Linked DNA regions of Astyanax mexicanus. The protein of the gene in region 1 purifies or fractionates together with the protein of each later gene. This does not show direct contact. Links are inferred from orthologs where the notes say so. Each region holds a gene or a part of one and is shown in the gene's direction. Other genes may lie near its edges.

Evidence for each region.
Region 2: the proteins of vbp1 (region 1) and pfdn1 purify together in Homo sapiens (affinity purification with mass spectrometry; 4 studies listed by BioGRID and IntAct, counting the BioPlex papers as one, with this or other methods). This does not show direct contact. The link is inferred for Astyanax mexicanus from reciprocal best matches to the Homo sapiens genes VBP1 and PFDN1.
Region 3: the proteins of vbp1 (region 1) and pfdn5 purify together in Homo sapiens (affinity purification with mass spectrometry; 7 studies listed by BioGRID and IntAct, counting the BioPlex papers as one, with this or other methods). This does not show direct contact. The link is inferred for Astyanax mexicanus from reciprocal best matches to the Homo sapiens genes VBP1 and PFDN5.

Annotation. Positions count from the first base shown.
Region 1 is NC_064415.1:17,237,815-17,245,633, reverse strand, and holds the start of vbp1 (prefoldin subunit 3), read left to right. Parts: upstream 1-4,786; 5' UTR 4,787-4,853; coding exon 4,854-4,934; intron 4,935-6,612; coding exon 6,613-6,737; intron 6,738-7,351; coding exon 7,352-7,418; intron 7,419-7,520; coding exon 7,521-7,619; intron 7,620-7,819. UniProt on the Homo sapiens protein: Binds specifically to cytosolic chaperonin (c-CPN) and transfers target proteins to it. Binds to nascent polypeptide chain and promotes folding in an environment in which there are many competing pathways for nonnative proteins.
Region 2 is NC_064424.1:11,021,882-11,029,193, reverse strand, and holds the start of pfdn1 (prefoldin subunit 1), read left to right. Parts: upstream 1-4,229; 5' UTR 4,230-4,303; coding exon 4,304-4,336; intron 4,337-6,361; coding exon 6,362-6,528; intron 6,529-7,312. Other genes in the region: hbegfb (heparin-binding EGF-like growth factor b), read left to right, coding at 223-295. UniProt on the Homo sapiens protein: Binds specifically to cytosolic chaperonin (c-CPN) and transfers target proteins to it. Binds to nascent polypeptide chain and promotes folding in an environment in which there are many competing pathways for nonnative proteins.
Region 3 is NC_064412.1:17,137,602-17,144,544, forward strand, and holds the start of pfdn5 (prefoldin subunit 5), read left to right. Parts: upstream 1-3,870; 5' UTR 3,871-3,922; coding exon 3,923-3,988; intron 3,989-6,118; coding exon 6,119-6,221; intron 6,222-6,604; coding exon 6,605-6,636; intron 6,637-6,769; coding exon 6,770-6,844; intron 6,845-6,943. Other genes in the region: espl1 (separin), read left to right, coding at 1-77, 223-387, 598-702, 811-926, 1,017-1,100, 1,197-1,361, 2,062-2,263. UniProt on the Homo sapiens protein: Binds specifically to cytosolic chaperonin (c-CPN) and transfers target proteins to it. Binds to nascent polypeptide chain and promotes folding in an environment in which there are many competing pathways for nonnative proteins.

The DNA of each region.
Region 1 (7,819 bases):
CTACAGTGCAACAATACTGCATCATACAAGTCACTCAGGTTTTTGCTTTGGAGTGAGCAATGATGCTGATTAGATCATGAGCTTTTTATACCCACATCTGGATACCTTGACCCTGGTGTTATATAGTGCATACAGTCCTTATATAGCCCTTCTGCCTCCATGCATGTGAGAAAAGAAAAATAACATAGTAAGTAAATATTCAGCTAAATGTTGGTTAAATGTCAGTTGAGGCATCTCTAATGGACCATCCAAATAAAGTCATACTGGTCTTTCTCTATAAGACATAATAAAACACAATTAACTGTTTATTTGTCCATTTCCATTCATTATTCATTTAATTAATCTAACTTAGAACAACTTTGGAGTCCTTTATAAATGTTTACTGACATCATTAATAGCTGTATAATATTATGTAAAGTCTCAGATCTTTCCACATTATTGTAGCCTGTATGCAAGATCAGCTGTTTTTCATAGTCAGATTTATTTTTAGAGATATTATATACAGATAAATGGTCCTAATATTATCCAATAAACAATTCTCACAGCCTCAGAAGGAACCATGTCTAGTCATTATGACTGTGCTGACCATATGTGCTAAACAAACACTTATAAATAACGAATAACAATAAAAGAACAAACATATACACACACATACTGGCACAGTCATGTAGCTGTAAAAATTTGCTAACAGTCTTCATATAGTCACGCCCTGCTCTGTTTCCCTGTGTTTTCTGCGTTTCCCCAGTTATTTTCCCTCACGTGTCTGTAAATTGTAGCTCCGCCCCTCGTTACCTGTCGCCCCAGGAGTTCATTGTTTCCTATTAGTATAAATAGTACCCTTTTGTCTATGTTTGGTCTTCGGTCTTTGCACCTTCCTCTGTCGTTTGTCTTGCCACGTTTATAGTAGTTTTTCCACGCTCCATAGTTCTTTGTTTATCAGTTATTCTCTGTTTATTCCGTGTTTCTATCTCTAGTTTGTTTCCTTGTTTATTTCTTGTATATATTTACGTTTATTTCCTTGCATATATCCCCAGCCCTGTTTAGTTATTATCTGTCTAGTTTAGTTCTTGGTTATTTTCCCTGTTTGTTTATGTATTTATATTTCCTCGTTTACTCCTTATTTGTTTCTTTGTTTATGTTATTTAATAAATCCTGTCTTACTCGCTTTTACGTCCGCCTCCCGTCTGCTCCACCATTACACATATATCACACACCATCAATACACATTTGTCACTGTCCAATGAAAAACACTCCAAAATCTCCAAAACAGCAACCTTACAGAAGAGAGAAAAAACCTTGTAAATGTTCAAAGAAAGTTAATGTAAAAAGAGTTTATTTCAGGTCATTATGAGGAGTTTCTATTGGTCTGTTCATTAAGAAATTTTGGGACAGTGTAAGGGATAGTTTGTCTGTTCAAATTATGTAGTAAACTAAAAATAGACAAAATAGAGATTAGTGTTTTTCATAGGACAGTGACGCTGTATATCTTATAGAATGTCTAAATGCCCTCCAACACCTAATATAACCCAGAGGGTTCTTCAAGAGGGATGAATCTTCATGCTATAGCTCAGCTGGCCTCATTTTCCTCAAGGTCAGCTGGATCAGGGTTTTAAGAGTCCTACTTTATGGTGATCTATAGATGCACAGCTACGGTTCAGAGAACACTGTGTCTCTAATTGCTGTGTTCCTGTAGCTTTATTTCACATTTGGGATTATGAAATGGAGCTGTAAAAGGGAGATGCCAAGAACACTGGATCAATACATTCAGTGCGGTTTCATTTTTTTCTGTCATTTAAGAAGGATTTAAACTGTGCAACAAGGCCATGTTATTGCAACAGCAATGAACTCTTATTAACCATTTCATTTGTGAATGGTATAAAGTGATTAAATGCATTGCTTTGCTGATGACACCCAGCTATACCTCTCATTCTCACCTGAAGATCACTCAATCTCTGCACGGATATTGCAGTGTCTCTCAGACATATCCTCATGAAGGAGCATCACCGTCAACTAAATCTCTCAAAGAGTGAACTTCTGGTTATACCAACAAAACCATCTTTTCAACACAACTTCTCTATAAGCATCGACTCTCTCTCTCTCTCACCGACAAAGGTTGCTAGGAACCTGGGTGTTATGGTTGATGACCAGCTCTCCTTCACGCACCATGTGGCCTCAGTTGCTCGATCCTGCCGCTTCGCGCTTTATAACATCTGAAAAATTCGACAGTTTCTGACGCAACAGCCCACCCAACTCCTGGTACAAGCAGTCGTCATCTCACGCCTCGACTACTGCAATGCCCTGCTAACTGGCCTCCCGGCCTGCGTAGTAAAACCACTCCAAATGATCCAGAATGCAGCAGCACGTCTGGTCTTCAACCAGCCAAAACGGGCACATGTCACCCCATTGCTCATTGAGCTCCATTGGCTACCAGTTAATGCATCAAATTCAAAGCTCTTACAGTCGCCAACAAGGTGATGACAGAACAGCTCCTTCCTACCTGCACTCACTCCTGAAGGCTTACACTACCTCCCAGCCGCTGCGCTCCTCCAATGAACGTCGCCTCACTTTACCAAACAAACATTCACACAAAGCAATCCAGACTGTTCTCATACAGAGTTCCCCTATGGTGGAACAAACTACCTTCCACTACCAGATCAGGAGAATCTCTCACTATCTTTAATAAACTCCTGAAGACAGAGCTCTTCAGGGAGCACTTACTCTCCTAACACCTCTAACACACTAACTACTTCTAACCTCATTTCCTTCTTCCCCTCCTTCACTCCTCTATCCCATTATTTCCCTTTGACCTCCTTTAGACCCTATCTAAAGATGTTTTTACCTTTAACTTATTACTTTTGTACTTCACTATTGTAAGTCTGCCAAATGTAATGTAATGTAAAATGATGTTTAGTTACATCGTTGAGCAACATCAAACTCACAACCAGAAAGAATCAAGACTTAAAAGAGCAGAAAATCAGACAGCAAAACAACAACATTAAATGCAACTGTATAACTAATGGATATACAGCAATGAAATATTAAGTCCATATGTGTGAGCATAACACTACATACATGTACAAAACCAGATATTAATATTAGAAGCTTTATTACAGGAAAATAATTATAGATATATGTTTGGAACATTAATATGATGAATATGTAAATAGCTCAGTATGAATAGTCATGACTGTAATGTTAGTACACAAGGATCATTGGTCCTCATTCACCAAAATCATCTTTCATTCTTGAGAAATGAATGCTGCATTTCTATTTGCTCAATGCCTCAGTTAATCCTTTTTCCATATTTCTCCACTCTGTAGCTGTTGATGTATAAGGGGATTCATGTGGGAATATACACTGACAGGTTTGAGTATAAATTTAGCTTTTATCCAGAAATAGCATCAGAACTGAGAACTAAAGATCCTACAGCAGAAACTGGTGCTCTATAAGCTGCAGCTCTGAGTTTAACAGCAGTAGCACTGATTTAGTCCTCGTCTGAAGTCTCATTTATACTCTTCCACTGACACACATTTCACATCTCCTGCGGTAACGTTCACACCCTAATCTGCTGTATCACCATGACAGCCCAGCGGCCCAGCAGAGCACAGCAGCAGCCCAGAGACACGTCACTAATAGAGACACAGTTCTCAGTACTAAAGAGCCTCACACTGAAGATTAACATTGCATAGAGAGAGAGAGAGAGTCAGAGACAGAGAGAGAGAGAGAGAGAGAGAGAGAGAGAGAGAGAGCATTAGAAAACAGGTGAATAAAAAGGAGACACACTGCCCAAAGTACACTGCTAAAAGTATGGATTGGATTTATATAAAATTTACATTTTCTGAGACACTGAGTTTGGGTTTTTTATTGGCTATAACCCATAATCATAATGCAATTTACTGAATGAAATGAATTACCGAAATAAAGTAACTTTTCAATTATATTCTTTTTTAGATGCACCTGCTCTGGGAAAAAAAAATAATAAAATCAAATAATAATAATGAGTTTCTTTGATTTTACCAAATTGAAAACCTCTAGAATATAATCAAGAAGAAGATGGATGATCACAAGCCATCAAACCAAGCTGCACCAGGAGTGGCATAAAGTTATCCAAAAGCAGTGTGTAAGACTGGTGGAGGAGAACATGCCAATGCATGAAAACTGTGATTAAAAACCAGCGTTATTCCACCAAATATTGATTTCTGAAACTTTTTATGAATATAAACTTGTTTTCTTTGCATTATTTGAGGTCTGAATGCTTTGCATATTTTTTGTTATTTCAGTCATGTATCATTTTCTGCAAATTTCCCGCTCCAAATGACAGTATTTTTTTTTTTATTTGGGAGAAATGTTGTCAGTAGTTTATAGAATAAAACAACAATGTTCATTTTACTCAAACATATACCTATAAATAGCAAAATCAAAAAAATGATTCAAAAACTGAAGTGGTCTCAATTTTTTCAGAGCTGTATATCTGTATCGGGTGCTTGAAGGCTTGTCCCAATTACACTCGAAAACAAGGGGTAGGGTAAAAAAGATAAATGGGATTGGGCCTTAGTGAGGGAGTGAGGGATTTTGGATAAATGATGCCACCTGCCGGTGGATCTGTGAACTGCTCCAACACACAAAACCCCGCTCTGTATCTGTACAATATGTAACCATATGAACAGTTTAAAATAAAATATCTGAGAATGTACCGCTAATAAAGCTCAGATTCAGAGCTTTAACTAAGCAGAAGCCTTTGATTATCAGCGTTAAACCCTCCGGGACGCTGCTGCAGCTTTATAAAGGCCGGGCGGCTGGCCGGAGAAACGCCCAACGTCACCTAAAGAGGAAGGGCTACGGGTCTTTCCAAAATGGCGACGACCATAGAGAGCAGCAATGCTGGAGCTGCGAGCAAGAAAAAACACCTCGGGATCCCCGAAGCGATCTTCGTGGTGAGTGAGCCGCGGACAGGGAGGTGTAAGAGGGCTCGGAGATGTTTTATAAGCCGGTTTGGAAGCTGTTTATCGGGGTTAAAGCCGTTAGCGAGCCCGCTGAGTTAGCGCGGTGCTGCAGCCTGGCCGTTTCCTTTTAAGGCTGTGGCCCAGGCTAATGCTGCTTTAAGAACAAATGGAGGCTAAAAATGAGATTTTCTGTGTTACAAAATCAGCAGTCTATATTTTTCTAGCAGCTACAGTGCATATAACTTAAGTTCATAACGGCTCTGATAGGTTTTCTCCTTATACTAGCCTTTTATTACTGTTCTGTAGTGGAGAGTTTTGTATGGCCCATTGACTGTAACGTTAATGATGAATAGTAGCATAGCTTGGTTAGCTGCTGCAGTAGTTTACTGACTACAGAGGCTGGATTTTATATCCAATATAATATTATAATTATTAATCTCCAAAATAATGATAGGTTGGTTATTTGGGTGTAGCACTATCAGCAAATAATGTAAATGTAAAGTCTAGTAAATATTGTAAAGCAAAATATTATTATTATTATTATTATTATTATTATTATTATTATTATTATTATTATCATATTAATATTAATAATAAGCCAATATAAACGTTTTTAATGAAAGACTTCTATAAAATCATTGTCTGAAGCACATAGATTTAATATTTTATATGTTACCATTAACATACAGTAACAGTCAATGTATATCAATGTGGACACCTCTTCTCGTTCAGTGTTTTCTTTCTTTTTATTATTATTTTTTAATAAATATATTTAGTTTAATCTCTAAAATAATGTTAGTTGATTGTTTGGGGTAGCACTACCAGCAAATAATATAAATATAAAGTCCAATAAATACTGAATAAATTCTCTTCTTCTTCTTCATCTTATTGTTGATTATCTGGAGAACATAGATTATATATCTTCATATGTTACAGTTACAGTTAACATATATTTCCATGGACACATGTTTTCTTCTTTGATTAATTAATTAATTTCTGGTAGAAAACCAGCAAATAATGTAAATGTAAAGTCCAGGAAATACTGTATAAAATAATTATATAAAAAAAAAAGGTTTATGTACTAGTACAACATCATATTTGCTAAATATATAGCTCGTAAGCATCATTCCTAATGGAATTTATACAGAATTTCACACTGGAAGATGCTTGTTATGACATATCTGCAAATGTATTATACTGTACAGAAAAAAATGCTGTAATCTTTATTTTTCAGTGTAACAGTAGTAAACATCACAAATGGAGAAGGTTTTTACAACCAAAAAGAAATGGAGAAGATTTACATCTGTCGATGTATATGTTTATTGTGCTTTATGTTGATGTATCATTAAACAATGGGCTAAAAGTGCTGCTGGTTTGTATCAGAGTACTGTTTACTGGAGTCATGACAAAGCAAGAACCAAGTCAGTTTGCCCCCTCATCCTTCTTTTTTTCAGGGACTTTTAGCCTCAGATAATTCTTTTCATTAACTGGACAAAATAGTATGTGCAAATATCACTTATTAAAGCACTTTTCATTATTGGGAAAGAAGCATAATGAACAAATCCAGTCTAAGCATATCATTTATAATTTTGCATGCCACTTTCATTATTGGGTTAATTTAATTATTGACCTGAGGTCCAGGTACATGACTGTCTCTTCTTTCTTTTAGGAGGATGTGGACTCCTTTATGAAGCAGCCCGGCAATGACACAGCAGATGCTGTACTAAGGAAGCTCGATGAACAGTATCAGAAATATAAATATATGGAGCTTAACCTGTCCCAGAAGAAACTCCGGTTTGTTTATTGTTATTATTATTATTATTATTATTATTGTGAGGTATGGCTGCTTTATTTTGTGTTTTTTTGTGGTTCTAATTATCTTATTAATTGTCCTTTACAAATAATGTTCTTTACAAGTAATGGTTAACCATTAGCCGGTTTTGTTCTAAAAGAATACAATGCTTTTGTTGACAGTTGAGTGTTCATTCCCTTGCAGTGGCACAGTGTTTCTTATCCTAAAGTCCCAAGTGAGCACAATTGGCCTTGCTCTCTGCATATATTTTTATATTAGTGATACCCAGTGGCATTTACCTTTTATTGGACGCTTTCTTCAGAGGAGATAAACTTTTTATCAATTAAAATTGCCTGACCTCCACAAATGCTGCCACTGTCACATATGCTACTTTGACTGCCTGTCATGGTTGGAATGCATTTAATGTAATGGTTCATCAGGACCTCAAATATGGTGTCAGACATAATTTGCTGTGTCATTGTGCTCTATTTATGAAGTATTTTAACATATTTCCAGTCCTAGTCATAGTGTGTGATTGCTGAAATGGGCTTGAAATGAGCCAGTACAAATCCTAGCGGTCCAGAAGTTGTGAAATGTGGAATTTTGCCTTGTTTAGGTTGAAAAGCCAGATTCCACAAATCAAGCAGACGTTAGAAATCTTACGGCACATGCAGAAGAAAAAGGTAAGCAATACTGTTAACTGTAGTAATAAAAATCAGCTTCTGTCTTTCTGCTCTCCTTTTTTCAGTCTACTCATTCAGTAATGTCTCCTTGTCTTGGTACAGGACACTACAGATCCAATGGCGACTCACTTCCTTTTGGCTGATAACGTGTACTGCAAGGCCTCCGTCCCTCCCACAGATAAAGTGTGTTTGTGGCTTGGGGTAAGTATTCAGCTCACACCTGAGGAGCAATGCTGGCTCAAAGGAGAACTTTAATTGACTTTTGGTGTAGTAAAACATGCTTAAAAGTTATACCTTTGTTAAACAGCCCACCACCACTCTCCTGCAGCTTTCTGAGGCCCAGTTATTTTGTGCTTTTTGCCAGGCACTCTGTACAACCGTGTCAGGGCATATTTTGCCCC
Region 2 (7,312 bases), on another chromosome or scaffold:
AAATGGACAAACATTTATAGATTTTTTTCAACTGAATGTAAGAAACGTCTACATTTATTCTCATTAAAACTAATTTAAAAATACCTCACTATAAATACCCTGCAATATTGTGATATTATTTTAGGGCCATATCGCCCACCCCTACCTTGGACACATTTGCATTTGCATACACTGTTTTTGTTTTGCAAAACATACTAACAATACTGCATGTATTTTTCGCAGGTGTCATAAAAAAGGTGAAATAGAGACAGAAAGTGAGGAGAAGATCAAACTTGAGGCAGCGAGTGTACAATAGTGCTGATGAAGAAGGGTGAGCATTGTAATATATAATGATGAAAAATATAACTTTTTTTGTGTGCATTCTGTGTTGAATAAAGGCCAAAAAAATAACCACTACAAATGTATCATTATTATTATTATTATTATGTTCTGTATTAATTATTAACAATCAGTTACAATTGTTTTTTTTCCTGCAGGTGATCATACTGATGGCAAGACAGATGGAGAGAACTGGTCAGTGGTAACAGAGCACTTTTGGACATGCGGAGAACAGTTGGTTTGTTTCTGTTTCTTCCACTGTTAATTAATGTGGCTCAGTCCATCAGATATTAAAGCTGGAACTGTAATTATTTTATAAATAAATAATAACTGCGGTGATAATGGTAATTCGCTAAATACAGCAGTAATCATCAAATGACTGTAGTATGACCGTAATGCGGTAACAGTCACAGCCCTAGTTGCTCCCAAATTCTCAATTCTTGGAGCACACTCCTCCCCAGAGAGGTATGGTGAGATGCCTCACTCCTGATAAATCAACCTGTGTGTAATACAAATGAAGAAAGTCAATGAATGTAGCTTTGTGTTTGTGTTGTATGTATTGTTTCCCTTCTATTTATTTTTATAACTTAAAACGTTTTTTATTTATCTATTTATTTAGTTAAATAATCATTGTGTGTAAGTACTAAGTGCACTGCCGGTCTATGTAGTAGTTTGTAAATGGACAGTGATCTAATTCTTTTTCTGTTCTTTTGGCTTTGTGATTCAACATTTAAGAGTTTTCAGAGTCACAAAGCATAACTGCTACTGCTCATTCTGAAATGTTAAGAAATATTTATTGTATTTGTAATTCCAGCACACAACAGAAGTAAACAAAAGAACTTTCACTGTCCAAATACTTACACTACTGTATTTGTTTTACTGTATTTATTTGTAATTTTTTTTACATTTGTCTAATTTATCTTGTGAATACTGTGAAAAAATAAAATGTGTGTTCTTTTTAGACTTTGTACATAAGTTGTTTTGTTCTGCAGTATTATTTTTTTTTATGTTTCCTAAATTATTAATAAACAAATAAATAAATCAGGTAAAATGAAAGATATTAAAGTTGAAAATGTGTTTTATACTGACTACAACATACCACAAATATGTGTGAACATTTTTGTAGCTTATACACAGTCACTGACTAAGAGCTTGTCACTAGATGCTGCATTAATTAGTCAGTAGCGGTTAGATGTGTTGGTTCTGGTTCTCATACAGCAGTTATCAGGACCTGAACTCGTCTAGATTAGAGATGCATGAATACTGATACTGGCATTGGACATCTGTCCAATACAATGCTAAGTTGCTTGTAATGGCAAATGCGGCTCAGACAGCAAAAACTACACACAGTACCAGTCAGAAGTGTGGACACACTTTACCATTCAATGTTTTTTATTTATTTTCCCTTTATTGTAAATGAATACTGAAGAAATCCAGATTATGAAGAAACACATAAGGAATCATGTAGTAAAATTAAACATGTTAAAAATGTAAAGCATTTCAGAACTTTACAACTGATGCTCTCAAACACATTAATTTACTCTGGACAAGTTCAGCACAGCTGTTAACTGAAATCCATTCAAGGTGACTCTACTTTATAAAGCTGACTGAGGAAATCCAGCCAATATGTGCAAAGCTTTCATCTAAACAAGAGGTGTCTTCTAAAAGAAACTAAAATACAAAACATATTCTGGTTTGTTTAACATGTTTTGTTTAATAAACAAATCATAGTTTGGATTACTTTAATCTACAATTCAGAACAATTTAAACTCAATTTAAGGTGTGTCCTCTGGTACAGTATATATGTACAATTACGACACATACAGACAACCACAACAACGTCTATTACACAATTTCATCAAAGAACATTAGTCTCTGTCTGCAATGTCTGACTCCCAACCGCGTGTGTGATGTTGAGTGAAGAAGACTCGGGTTGCCAGATACGCTCATTAAGATACACCAAAAGGCTGTGCCTCCCTAAACCCTCAAATTGGCAAATAAAAAACACAATAAAACAGTCATTTCTGATTGTGGAAGCTCTCCACTCTTCCTTCAGACTCTGCTCCCTTGATTAAAAAATTAAATGTAAAGTTTACTGATGACCAGTGATGGTTTGGAGAGTCATGTCATCTGCTGGTGTTGATCCACTGTGTTTATATCAAGTCTAAAGTCAGTGCAGTGTTTTCCAGAAAATCTTACAGCACTTCATGCTTCCCTCTGCTGACAACTTTTATAGAGATGCGGATTTCATTTTTCAGCAGGACTTGGCACACTGCCCACACTGCCAAAAGTACCAATTTGCCTTACACATTGGCGTAGGAACCGGGGGGGATGGGTGGGACATGTCCCACCCAATATTAGAAACAGGTCGATTTGTCCCCCCCAAAAATTATATCGTTTCACTCAGATCAGCTGTACTATTAATGAGGAGACAGACCGGACCAATCACGGAGCCTGTTCAGGTATTAAGTCCCGCCTCTCAGTAGATTGGCAGAAACAGCCAATCTTGCTGGTTTTGCGGCGCGCGGAGGAGAGGCAGTTTGCTGTTGGGGAAGCCCCGCCCCCTCGCTGTGAGATTTAGCAGCGGGATCGGGACGCAGCAGCTTCAGCTGATTTTAAAACAGAGATGGATATACGGAGATTTTACTAAAAGAAAGGTAACGATAGGCTAACCACTTCAACTGTGATGATATGTTTCTGATAGCTGGTTAAAAATACACGTCTCTGAATCAGCACACAGTTTAAACCCACTGTGATTAATGAACTGCAGCTGTGTTAGTGAGTTAGCTTAACTTTGGAATGAGCTAGATTGGGAGTCAGGGTTAAAGAAAAAAAACTATATATATAATGTTCAACTTGCCCTGTACCTGATCAGCTATTCACTATTTCATTTTCAAACTTTGTTTATTAATTTAGGATTGCAGGACTTACTGTGAGCTATAATGAACGAAAATTAATTTAGCTAACTAGTTATCTAGAAGCTGCATGTAGTGGATAGCCAGAATTTAGTACAGTACTTTACGTTTGTAGTTTAAAGCAGTTTCTTAACCCTGGTCACTGCCCCCAAAATAGTGTTTTCCACCTGATCCAGCTGATCAGCTAATAAACAGTAATTTACTGAGTTTACCTGTTAAAACCCTTTAGCCCTCTATGGATCCTAAATTAATCATGTATATCCAGCAGTTTATTAGACACATCATTCCACCACTTACTCTATGAAATGCCTTTAAAGCAGAGTAAGCTGTAGAATATGCAGAATACACAACACAGAACAGTGTTAATATGCAGTAGAATATGTAAGAACAGGGTTGAGAAACACAGCTGTAACATGACTTCTGTTATGCGCAGGAGAAAATGTAAATATACGACAGAATTGACATGCCAATACATAATAATAATAATAATAACCAAATCTGTATTATTTTAAATATTAGGTGATAACTGATCATTATTGTCATATGTATATAATTCAGACATTGCATGCATATTTTTTTCTAACCACAGTAACTGTAACATGGAGTAACATGTTTAGATTGTAAAATCACCTTATAATAATAATTTACTTTTAATTAAAAGTAAATTCCACAAATGTTGTTCTAGGAAACTATAGAGTGGGCTTAGGTTCATATTGGCAAATGTGTCCCCCCCCCAATATCAAGCCCGCTCCTACGCCCTTGGCCTTACATAATATTCTAATTTTCTGAGACTTTGATTTTTGGGTTTTTATTGGCTGTGAGCCATAATCATCAACAATAAAATAAATAAAAACTTAAAATAGACCACTCTATGTGTAATACATCTATATAAAATATGAGTTTCACATTTTAAACTGAATTACTGAAATAAAGTAACTTTTCAATGGTATTGTAATGATATCTTAACTCTTCTCACAAAAAAGCCAAAGCAGCCTTCTGCTTCACCTTGGCAACCCGGAGTGGACTGTCTTCAGTACGCATGCGCAGACACTCGCCCTGCCTTCTGCAACATGGCAGCCCCCGTAGACCTAGAGCTGAAGAAGGTAAAGCGTGGCTGATGATCGCTGTTACGGTAGCTGTGGGTTTCTGAGCTGGGATTATTCTGTGTGATCGGGGTGTGAAACAGCTAAAGCGGGTTCTGATCAGGGTCTCTGATTAAACAGCACAGATATAAACTGAATAAAGCGGAGTGGCTAACAGTAGCTAATGCTACACAATACACAGCTCCGGGTTTATTATAGCTATTTACTTGGTTATTTAACGATGTATTATTGGTATTAGCCTCACTACTACCTAACAGTTTATAGAGGCTGTTATCCAGACACAGATTCCAGTTTAGGATTATTTGGATGTAGGATATGACCTTGGCTAGGTTTTAGCTAGCCACTGTAGCTAAAATAAATCCTTCCAATAATGCTGAGGCAAGGCAGGTTTATTTATACAGCGCATTTCACACACAATGGCAACTCAAAAAAGCTTTACATGAAGAAAAAAAAAACATTAAAACATCCCTGAGCTGTAGCACCTCAAACTTTTTTTGCAATGAATATAGTGCCAGTTAAAAAAACCAAAAGCAAAGAAATAAACAGTAAGAACCAAAAGAGAAAATATTTTGCAATAAAGTTGCATTCATTTCATTTTGAATAGTTTGGTCTAGGAGTGGGTGATATGACCCAAAAATAATATTATGATATTTCAGAGTATACAATATTCTTGGCGATATGGCACTGAATAAAAAAAAATAAGAATAGACTACTGCAACAAAATATGATATGGCACACCCCTAACTGATATATTAAAAAATAAAATAATTGTATCAGATTTGTAACAAAAGTAAAAAATACAGAATGTCATGATACTAATAATACACTCCATATAGCTCCATATATCCAGGACTGAAGTAAAATAAATATTACTGGACAGATATAATCTGCCTCTAGTAGATATATAATGGGAAATAAGACCAGTGTAAATTTTTCTTTAGCTAACAACAGCAAAAAAAAAAAATAGTACTCTGATGTGATAATTAGGGGTGGGTGATATGACACAATATTTCGGGGTATAATATACGATATAATATACGATATTAAAAAATGTTGGCCATATTATTGCGTACGATATGATACGTCACACCCCTAGTTGGAGCTCTGAATCTACACTAACAACGCTTATAGATAAAAGGTGCTTCCCAAAAATACCTAATATTAATATACAAATTACTATTATACAGTGCAGGCTATAAAATACACTACAAACAAGATTACTTATTTTAATGTCATTAAAGTTTAATGCAAACTGTACACATAAAACCTACTTTTGAATCAACATGAAATTGATGTGTATAAATAAATCACTTCTGACGTGGGTGACCAGTATTGTTTCAGTACATTAGCAATGGAAAAATGAATGTTAATGTTCAACATCCTTTTGCTATCTGAGTGGCTATTTGGTTTGTTGTCTAAATACTGGGTTTAGTAAGAGAAATATAGACTATTTGGGCTAATAAAGTCTTGCTCAATTGCTTAAGTGGATATGCAAAGAGGTGGTTATCAAAAACTAAAGAGCTGAATGTAGCATGTGGAGCACACAATGCCCGGATCTGGTGTGGACCATATAATAAAATATTTTTATAAATACTTAGTATTTAATTTTTATGCTTTTGTTTGCTTTGATTAGTTGTTACACATGGAAAAAAGAAAAAGTTCTGTAAAGATGTGTAAAATATCCTCTTGAAAAAAAAAATTACATGGTTTATCACAGTAGTGTTAAAATATTTGTTTTGCCTTTATGTAAATTGCCATTCAGTAGTATTAAAAATAACAATAAAAAGCAAGCAAATTTATACTGTGTTTACAAGCAAAAATACACTTATTGCAGAGATAAATGCTTTAAAATGATGTGGTAAGGTACCTAAAACGCTTGTAAAAAGTTCTGTATATTTATATTTTAAAGCATACTGTATATAACTACACTGTGTATGTTTTTGTCATGTTAAAGAGTTTTGTTGTTCTGAATTTATGTTTATAGATACTTCATTAATAGATATTGTGTTGTGTGTTGTGCTCTAGGCCTTTGCTGAACTGCAAGCTAAAATGATTGATACGCAGCAAAAAGTCAAGATCGCCGACCTGCAGATCGAGCAGTTGAGTCGCATGAAGAAGCACTCCAATCTGACACATGTGGAGATAACCTCCCTTCCTGACAGCACTCGGATGTATGAAGGAGTCGGGCGCATGTACGTATCTCAGAAATTATCTTTAGATTAGGTAATATATGGTGATTTTCGGTTTTAAATCCTATATTACCTGTCCAAAATGTCCAGACCTTAGATCTCTTTTAATTAGTTAATTCAATGACAGCACTCACAGCTTAAATCATCTTCACAGCTTGTAGAAGCTTTTATTGCAATTTTATAGCTCCCTATGAGTAATCTTGATTTCTGAAGAAACCTAGAGCATATTGGCTACGTTTAATTTACAAGCCACGTTCCTCAAATCAGATTTTCTTGATGGTTTACATTTATAAATGTAAGTGGTCTGTATCTGTGTGTAATGTGAACGAATCTGTCCCTGAAACCTCTCACATGCGCAGATTGATACGAGTATAAACGTCTTCTTCTTCACCAACAACAAAAAATGTCATATTTAAGAGATGACTCGTAAATGTGTAAAGGGAAATGGATGCGTTAGCAGCTCATATGTGGAGCATCTTTTGCTGGAGTGGAGAAACAGCAAACAGCTGGTCTGAAGTTCATGCTCAGGTCGAGGAGGTGAAAAAAGGCCAGGCGGTTTGCTTTTGCTGTTTTTGCAGCTATAGCTGTACAGCTGCACCAAGAGATGTAGTGTGGGTACGAGAGAGAAGCATGTAGTGCTAATGCTAATGTGTAAAAGCAAAAAGACGCATGAATTCTGATTTGACATATTCCATGGATATTTGCATGTCCATGGATCGAATTTGTATCTGATTTAGGACCATATATGAAAGTGTCTCAAATATGATTTGAGACGTTTACACAGCCA
Region 3 (6,943 bases), on another chromosome or scaffold:
ACCCTAAACTTCAAGTTCAGCTTGAAACTCTCCAAGCCTCGATAGAAGGAGCAAAGATCACTTCGGGCATGCTTAAGGTCTGTGTCTACAATGTTGTATGATGCTTACAAATTATAAGCTTACTAAAGGCATTGATCTGTGTTTTGTTATTGGTCATACAGCAATAACAAAAACCTGAGGTGCATTTGCATGATTTTAAATTTTCTTTTTTTCTGCCTCAAGGTGGTTCTTTCTGCAGCTCCTCTGCTCTCTCAATCAGACCTACACTCATTGGCTGAGGGTGCAGGTCTGATGGAGGGAAATTTCCTGAAGCTTCTACAGAAGGGTGTGTCTGAACTGAAAGGGAGGGAAGAGCCTCAAGGACATACAGTTCTAATCTTAGACAAGGTAGGAAAAGTTTTTTTTTTTTTTTTTTCTCCCACCCTTCTTCTTAATTTGGTAGTACTACTAAATAAAGTCTTGTCTGCGTACTGATTAATTTACTATACAGTATGACACTTGTATAGTGCTGCTAGTGCTATAATAAGATTAAATGTTTTTTCACAGATGGCAAAAAATCCTTTGTTTTTAATATTTTTTGTGTGTGTGTCTATGCAGTACCTTCAAAGGTTGCCATGGGAGAACATCTCTTGTTTGAGGCCTCGCTCTGTCTCCCGCATGCCTTCTTTACAGGCTGTACTAGGACATGGCCATCTCCAAAAGGTGCAGCCATTATTAGTTATTTTGAAGGTTTTATTTTTACTTGAATTGTGGATGATTTTCTTGAGATTGTTTTGAGTCATTTATTTGAGTATTTTCCTCTACTTTCAGATGAATTCAGACTGTGTGCTGTCACGTGGTGTAGATCCCCAGCAAGTTTATTTTGTATTGAACCCAGATGGAAACCTGCCTGAGACTGAAAAGCGCTTCAGAGATTGGTTTACTAGGTTTGTATTACACGCATGCACCACCATGCTGTTTGACTGGTCAAATCTCTGTATAATTTCTTAAAGTGAATTTTGCCTTTTGCTGTTCAGTGAGAAGACATGGCAGGGAGTGTGTGGAGTTTCTCCTGATCCTGATAAACTACAGGAAGCAATAACCACCAAAGACTTGTATATGTGAGTGAGCCTCTCAAAATTTGCACTTCATTACCATCAATTTTTTTTTTTTTTTTTTAAAGTGACTAAACTTGCCTTTTATTTTATGGATTGCAGTTATGTAGGACATGGAGCAGGGGCACGCTTCCTGGATGCTCAGAGGGTGATGAAGGGACCCGTGCAAGCGGCGGCTCTGCTTTTTGGCTGCAGTAGTGCAGCACTTAGTGTGCAGGGCTGCCTCGAGGGAACCGGCATCATCCTTAGCTACCTCATCGCTGGATGGTAATTTTATTTTTACATAAATTTACCTTATATACTGTATGAATTTAATTCTAATTCAAAGTCTGATGTCAACATTTTGTCAGACAAATTACATTTAACCATTGATTACAAAAATTAGTTTCATCAAATGTTTCCTCATAATTATTTAGCAATTAGACAATCCAGAAAATATTTACTATCTGTATTATTGCCTAATTTAGTTACCAATATATGTTTGGCTATTATATAGTTTAGTGGAATAAGACTGCACGTATCTGACTAAATAAAAGGGATAGATAAAATCTGTTTATCTTTATAGCACAACCCACTACAAAACAACTGTCTCAAACTAGAAAATAAACTCTCAAATAAATTCCAAATAACAAATGAACTTGGTTAAGATTTTTTTTTTTTTATTTAATTGCATTTTAGAAATTCCTATCTTCTGCAGATTTATTAGGTGAATTTCAAACCTAATTCTTTCCCACCTCATCTTCCAAGCTTTAGCTTTCTTCAACTGTAGGCCACCAGTGCATGTTATGTGGATTTTCTTTTTAGCAAGAAATATATTCCCATTATTAACTCTCAATTAAAATTGAATCCTACTTTATTTTTTGTCACCTTCCTAATTGGTATACTTCTCTTTCTAAACACTAGAAACCGTTGTTGTGGTCTTTCTCCCTGTAAATTGCTGTTTTTTTTTTTTATTTCCCTTCTTTAGCCCGTTGGTGTTGGGGAACTTGTGGGATGTAACTGATCGTGACATTGATCGGTTCACTTCCGCCCTGTTACAGTCTTGGCTGTCTGGCGGTTCAGGTTCTTCTTTACTTCAGCACCTCAGTACCTCGCGAGATGCCACACACCTCAAGCACATGATTGGTGCTGCACCAATTGCATATGGCCTACCTGTACACCTACAATAGACCTGAAGCTAGAGTAGATGTGTTCAGTCACAGTATTCAGATTTTGAAGCAAACTGTGTATAGTTTTGGATTTGTTTATAATATCAAGTGTGGTATGGCTGATGCATACTTACCAACACTGAGCCATTTAAAATTTCAGCTTCATGTGGAATTCTTTAATGTTTAATATATGCATGTGTGATTTTCTTAAACTTTTATAAACGTTTTTAGAAATATTGTATTTAAATTGTTAAGCCTTTTTTAATTTGTGCAAGTAAGGAAATGTGAAATTTTCTGTTTTTAACTCTCAGTCTTAAATTGTGCAACAAATGCATAAGATACATTAAATTCATGGAAACATTTGTGGGTGTGAGTGGTGTTTTCTTGTTTGTTCTTTTTATTGTCCCCTCACCTTTTAATTGTATTTCTGTGGAATAGCCATTATAGATTTGGCTCCATTTTATTTTGTCTCTGCTCCAAAGATTTAAGACTTATGTAGCCTAATCACAAGGTTCTACAGATAGGATAGGATATAAATCCTGTGTAACAAACAGTAAACCAGAGGAACCTTAAATTAACACCAGTTTTAAGCAGCCTGTCTTATTGTAATTTATAGTGGTACTGTTTAGATATGTAGATTTATATTTGAGGTTGTGACTACTGAGCAAAAATGGAATGGGATGGACCAAATCAATAAAAAGGCTTTGTTAAGTTTAGTCTTTTGTGAGACTAACACACAAAGTTTAGTTCATGACTTGATTTGCCAGATAAACTGAATCAAGTAAATCAGGATTAATAATCACTTTTATCATTTGCCACTTTTAAAAGCTGTGACGTGCTGAATATTGTGAGATCATCACTGCAGGACAAAGTGTGAAATGGGTGTTAATCTCACTTTATTTAGTGCTGGGTTATTTGTATTTTTGCTTCTATGGATCTGTTCCATTTGTTTTAATAACTCACTTTAATTAAATTGGTTTACATTCTATAGAACCAATATTAACCTGATTTCTAGAGCACATTATTAAAATACACGTTATGAAATTAGTGTCATTTACGTTACATCAGGATTTAACCATAAAATATTTACAGTCATGTGCCTACAATAATAAAGATCTACAATGAGCTGGTCACTGAATTTCTGATTTAATTTGGAATTTGATATTAATGTTTAGAAATGGTATGAGCTCTTATGAGTTAAGGAAACATTTTATATTTAATTTTGTGATACTGAATTCTAAACCCTCTATGGCATGATGTTGCCGTCAGGCAACAAACCATTTTTTTTGATAGTTACAAAGTCCCTTTCGTGTTATTGTTATTTTTAATATAATACATTTAACTTTGAATGCATTTAAGTTAAAAATAAATATGCATGTTTATAATAATAAATATTAAATTAAATTAAGATTTTACACTTTTTTTCTTTTTTTTTCAAACCTCTTTTTAAGCAGTGCTTTTGTTTTTTCCTTCAAAAAATCATGTCACAGAAGTAAAACAAGCTTTGATAAAACTGTTTTAAATTCTGTGTTTTTGTCTTAATTTCTAATATATCTATATTTATTTTAAACTGCTCATATATTACACTCTTTTATTTTGTTACATTTTATTACTGATATAGGCTTGTCTCTATCGGTTTCCGGTTTATCCGGAAGTGTCCCTTATTGTCTTTTTCTCAACATGGCGGTGAATCTGACTGAGTTATCTCTGTCTCAGCTGGAGGGATTGAAGACTCAGCTCGAACAGGTGAGCTCCTGGAGTTTATTAAACGCTTGCAGGATAACGCTGTGTACAGGAGTTCCTCGGGGCCGGAGCCACAGAGTGGCTGGGTGCGGGTGAGGGGTGGTTAAGGCGCGGTCACGCTGCTGTTAGCTCCCGGCTAGCTGCTCTCAGACCGGGAGAGAGAGGAGGCAGATCCCCCGCCCCCCATGTGCTGCAAGTATTAGCTAACTTACCAAATAATTTAACTATAATCACCCCCTTTTTATGTAACCTAGCTAAACTTGTCAAATACAGGGTTAACTAAGTGCAGAACTGCATCTGCTGTGCAACCCGCCCACATGTAGATACAGCGTGGCTACAAATCATCGTTATTGTTTTTCTTTAGCTAACTGTTACTGTTTTTAATTCTATTTTGTCACTCACATTATTTCTATTTTTTTAAGTTTTATAATTATTTATTGTACAGCACTTTGATTCAGCTGTTTGTTTTGAGATTGTTTTAAAATAACCCCCAAAATAACCCGTGGGGAAGTATGTGTCTCTCAGACCCTTCAAAAGCGGAGTAAAATTCCTTCCAGCACTCTGTACTTCACTTTAATTATTCATAAAGGGACATACTGATCATCCTGAGTATCGTTACAATACAGTGTGTGAATGTGAGTTATTTCATCTGACCCTATTAACAGAACGTAGGAGTGCTGGGATAGTGCTGGAGATAAAGTAGCTCTTATTAAATGTGTATTTTTAAATGGTCTCAATTGATTTAAAAATGTAATCCGATTAATCACAACGAAATTTTACGATTAATCGAATTTGTTTTTCTTCAGACATAAATTTTTATAGTGAATATTTAAATGTAAATAAAAGAATGAATGTAAGAAATGTAAAATGCAATTATATGTATATTGGTGGTGTCAATTAATAATAATTAAAATAAAAAATAATAGTATATACTTATGTTTGAGGGGAGATAAAATCAACATAGGGTGCTGGAATAAAGAGAGCACAATAAATTGGATTGTAAATGTTGGTGAAGATTTCTGAATTCCAACTTAATTTGCTGAGTATAAAAATCTTAAGGATTACCATATAAATGGCCTGGAGGAAATATGAAACGGCCAGTATTCAGTAAATTATACACTGTGCCTTTAACAGACTGTTGGGTTAAATTTACAGAGTGAGTATAAGTGCTGCATTAGTTCATGTATGAATTAATAAATAGGATAGTGGAATAACGCCAGAGTAAGTCTGAGTGTCCTACTTCCTGCCCTAAAGCTTTTTATTTGGCGGAGAAACAAGCGAGAGAGACAGAAAGAGAAAGATGGAGGGAGAGACGGAGAGAGACAGTCGCAGAAAGAGAGGAAGAGAGAGACAAAACGGTTATCTATCCAGCGCACTATTTGGTGAAGAAACAAGAGAGAGAGAGAGAGACAGAGAAAGAGAAAAGATAGAGAGAACCCAAACAAAGCTCTACAGTCATAATTATGACTGTAATAACAATAACAATAACAATCTAGTAATAATGAAATGGGTCTGGGCTCTTATGGGTTAGAGTGAAAAAGTTCATTTGAATAGCTAAAACCACACCACATTTTTCTTTGTTTGCTCTGTATTTTGTCTTAGCTAGGTAAGCTTGTGTGAGCCAGGATAAGAAGCGAGTATTTCTTATGTTAAATATTTTCTGGTCACATTCCTTGATATTACAATTAAAGATTTAAAATTAAGAAATGCTCAATCATTAGTATTAGTAGGAAAATATAACTTTTTGATATCCATTGTTTTTCTAATAACTTTAAAATGCTGCCACTGTAAATGAATCAATGCTGGGTGTTCAGAAAATATCTTGGCACAAAAAAAACAATCTTAGTAGCATTAGGGAATTTCTTATTTCTACATAGAGAAAGACTAAGCACCTTAATAAGCAGCGGAGAGTTGTTTGGTAGATGTCAGAGAAGGAGCAGAATTCAAAACATCTATTTACAATACACTACCACACCTGTGTTTTAGGCAGCGTGTAAATGTTAATAATGGTTTAGCATTCAGATGTCTGTGTATATTGCTGTTGCATGATTATTGTATTCCTGATTTAAAATACTGTTTTATTGCTCTGCACATTATTCGTAATCATTGCTGTTTTCTTCATCTTGCTTCTAGGAAACAGAGTTCCTGTCCTCATCCATAGCCCAGTTGAAAGTGGTCCAAACAAAGTATGTAGAAGCTAAGGACAGTCTGAATGTTCTCAAAAAGAGTAATGAAGGTGAGGCTTGTTAAACCTAGGCCTGTTCTGGATGACTTGCGTCTATAACAGTTCGGTGATTTTCCTGCTTAAACACAAGTTGGTGTATTTCACAGTACAGTATTGTTTAGTGATCAAAATAACGTAATCCCATCTTGTATTGGATAGGCTGGACTTCCATTACTAGAGTCAATGATCCCAAAACTAACCTTTGAGATTCTGACATTTGGCCCTACATTCCTATGTGGATCATTCATAGTTTTATTTCTGCTTTTACACACCCACTTTTAAGTTGGTCTTTTTAGTGTTTGATCAAATGTGTTAGAACAAAAATCCTAAAACATTCAAAATAGAGGACTCCATTGAATAATGTCCTTTGTGTTTCTTTCTTTCCTTTCTTTTAGGAAAAGAATTACTTGTTCCTCTTACCAGCTCTGTATCCTTTTCACCAACTGAATGACAGTCAATTAATGCTCTTTAAGTGTGTGTGTGTGTGTGTGTGTGTGTGTGTGTGTGTGTGTTTTATAATGCATTTAAGTGGTGTTAACTTCTTTAACTGCATCATTCAGATGTATGTTCCAGGAACCCTGAATGATGTAGAACATGTATTGGTAGATGTGGGAACTGGTTACTTTGTAGAGAAAGTGAGTAATAGTTTTTATTACTTAAAGCCTTGTTACAATGCTTGCTAAACAAAACACTGTATTAGCATCCATTTGCTTCTTTGGTTTATTCTTCTTATA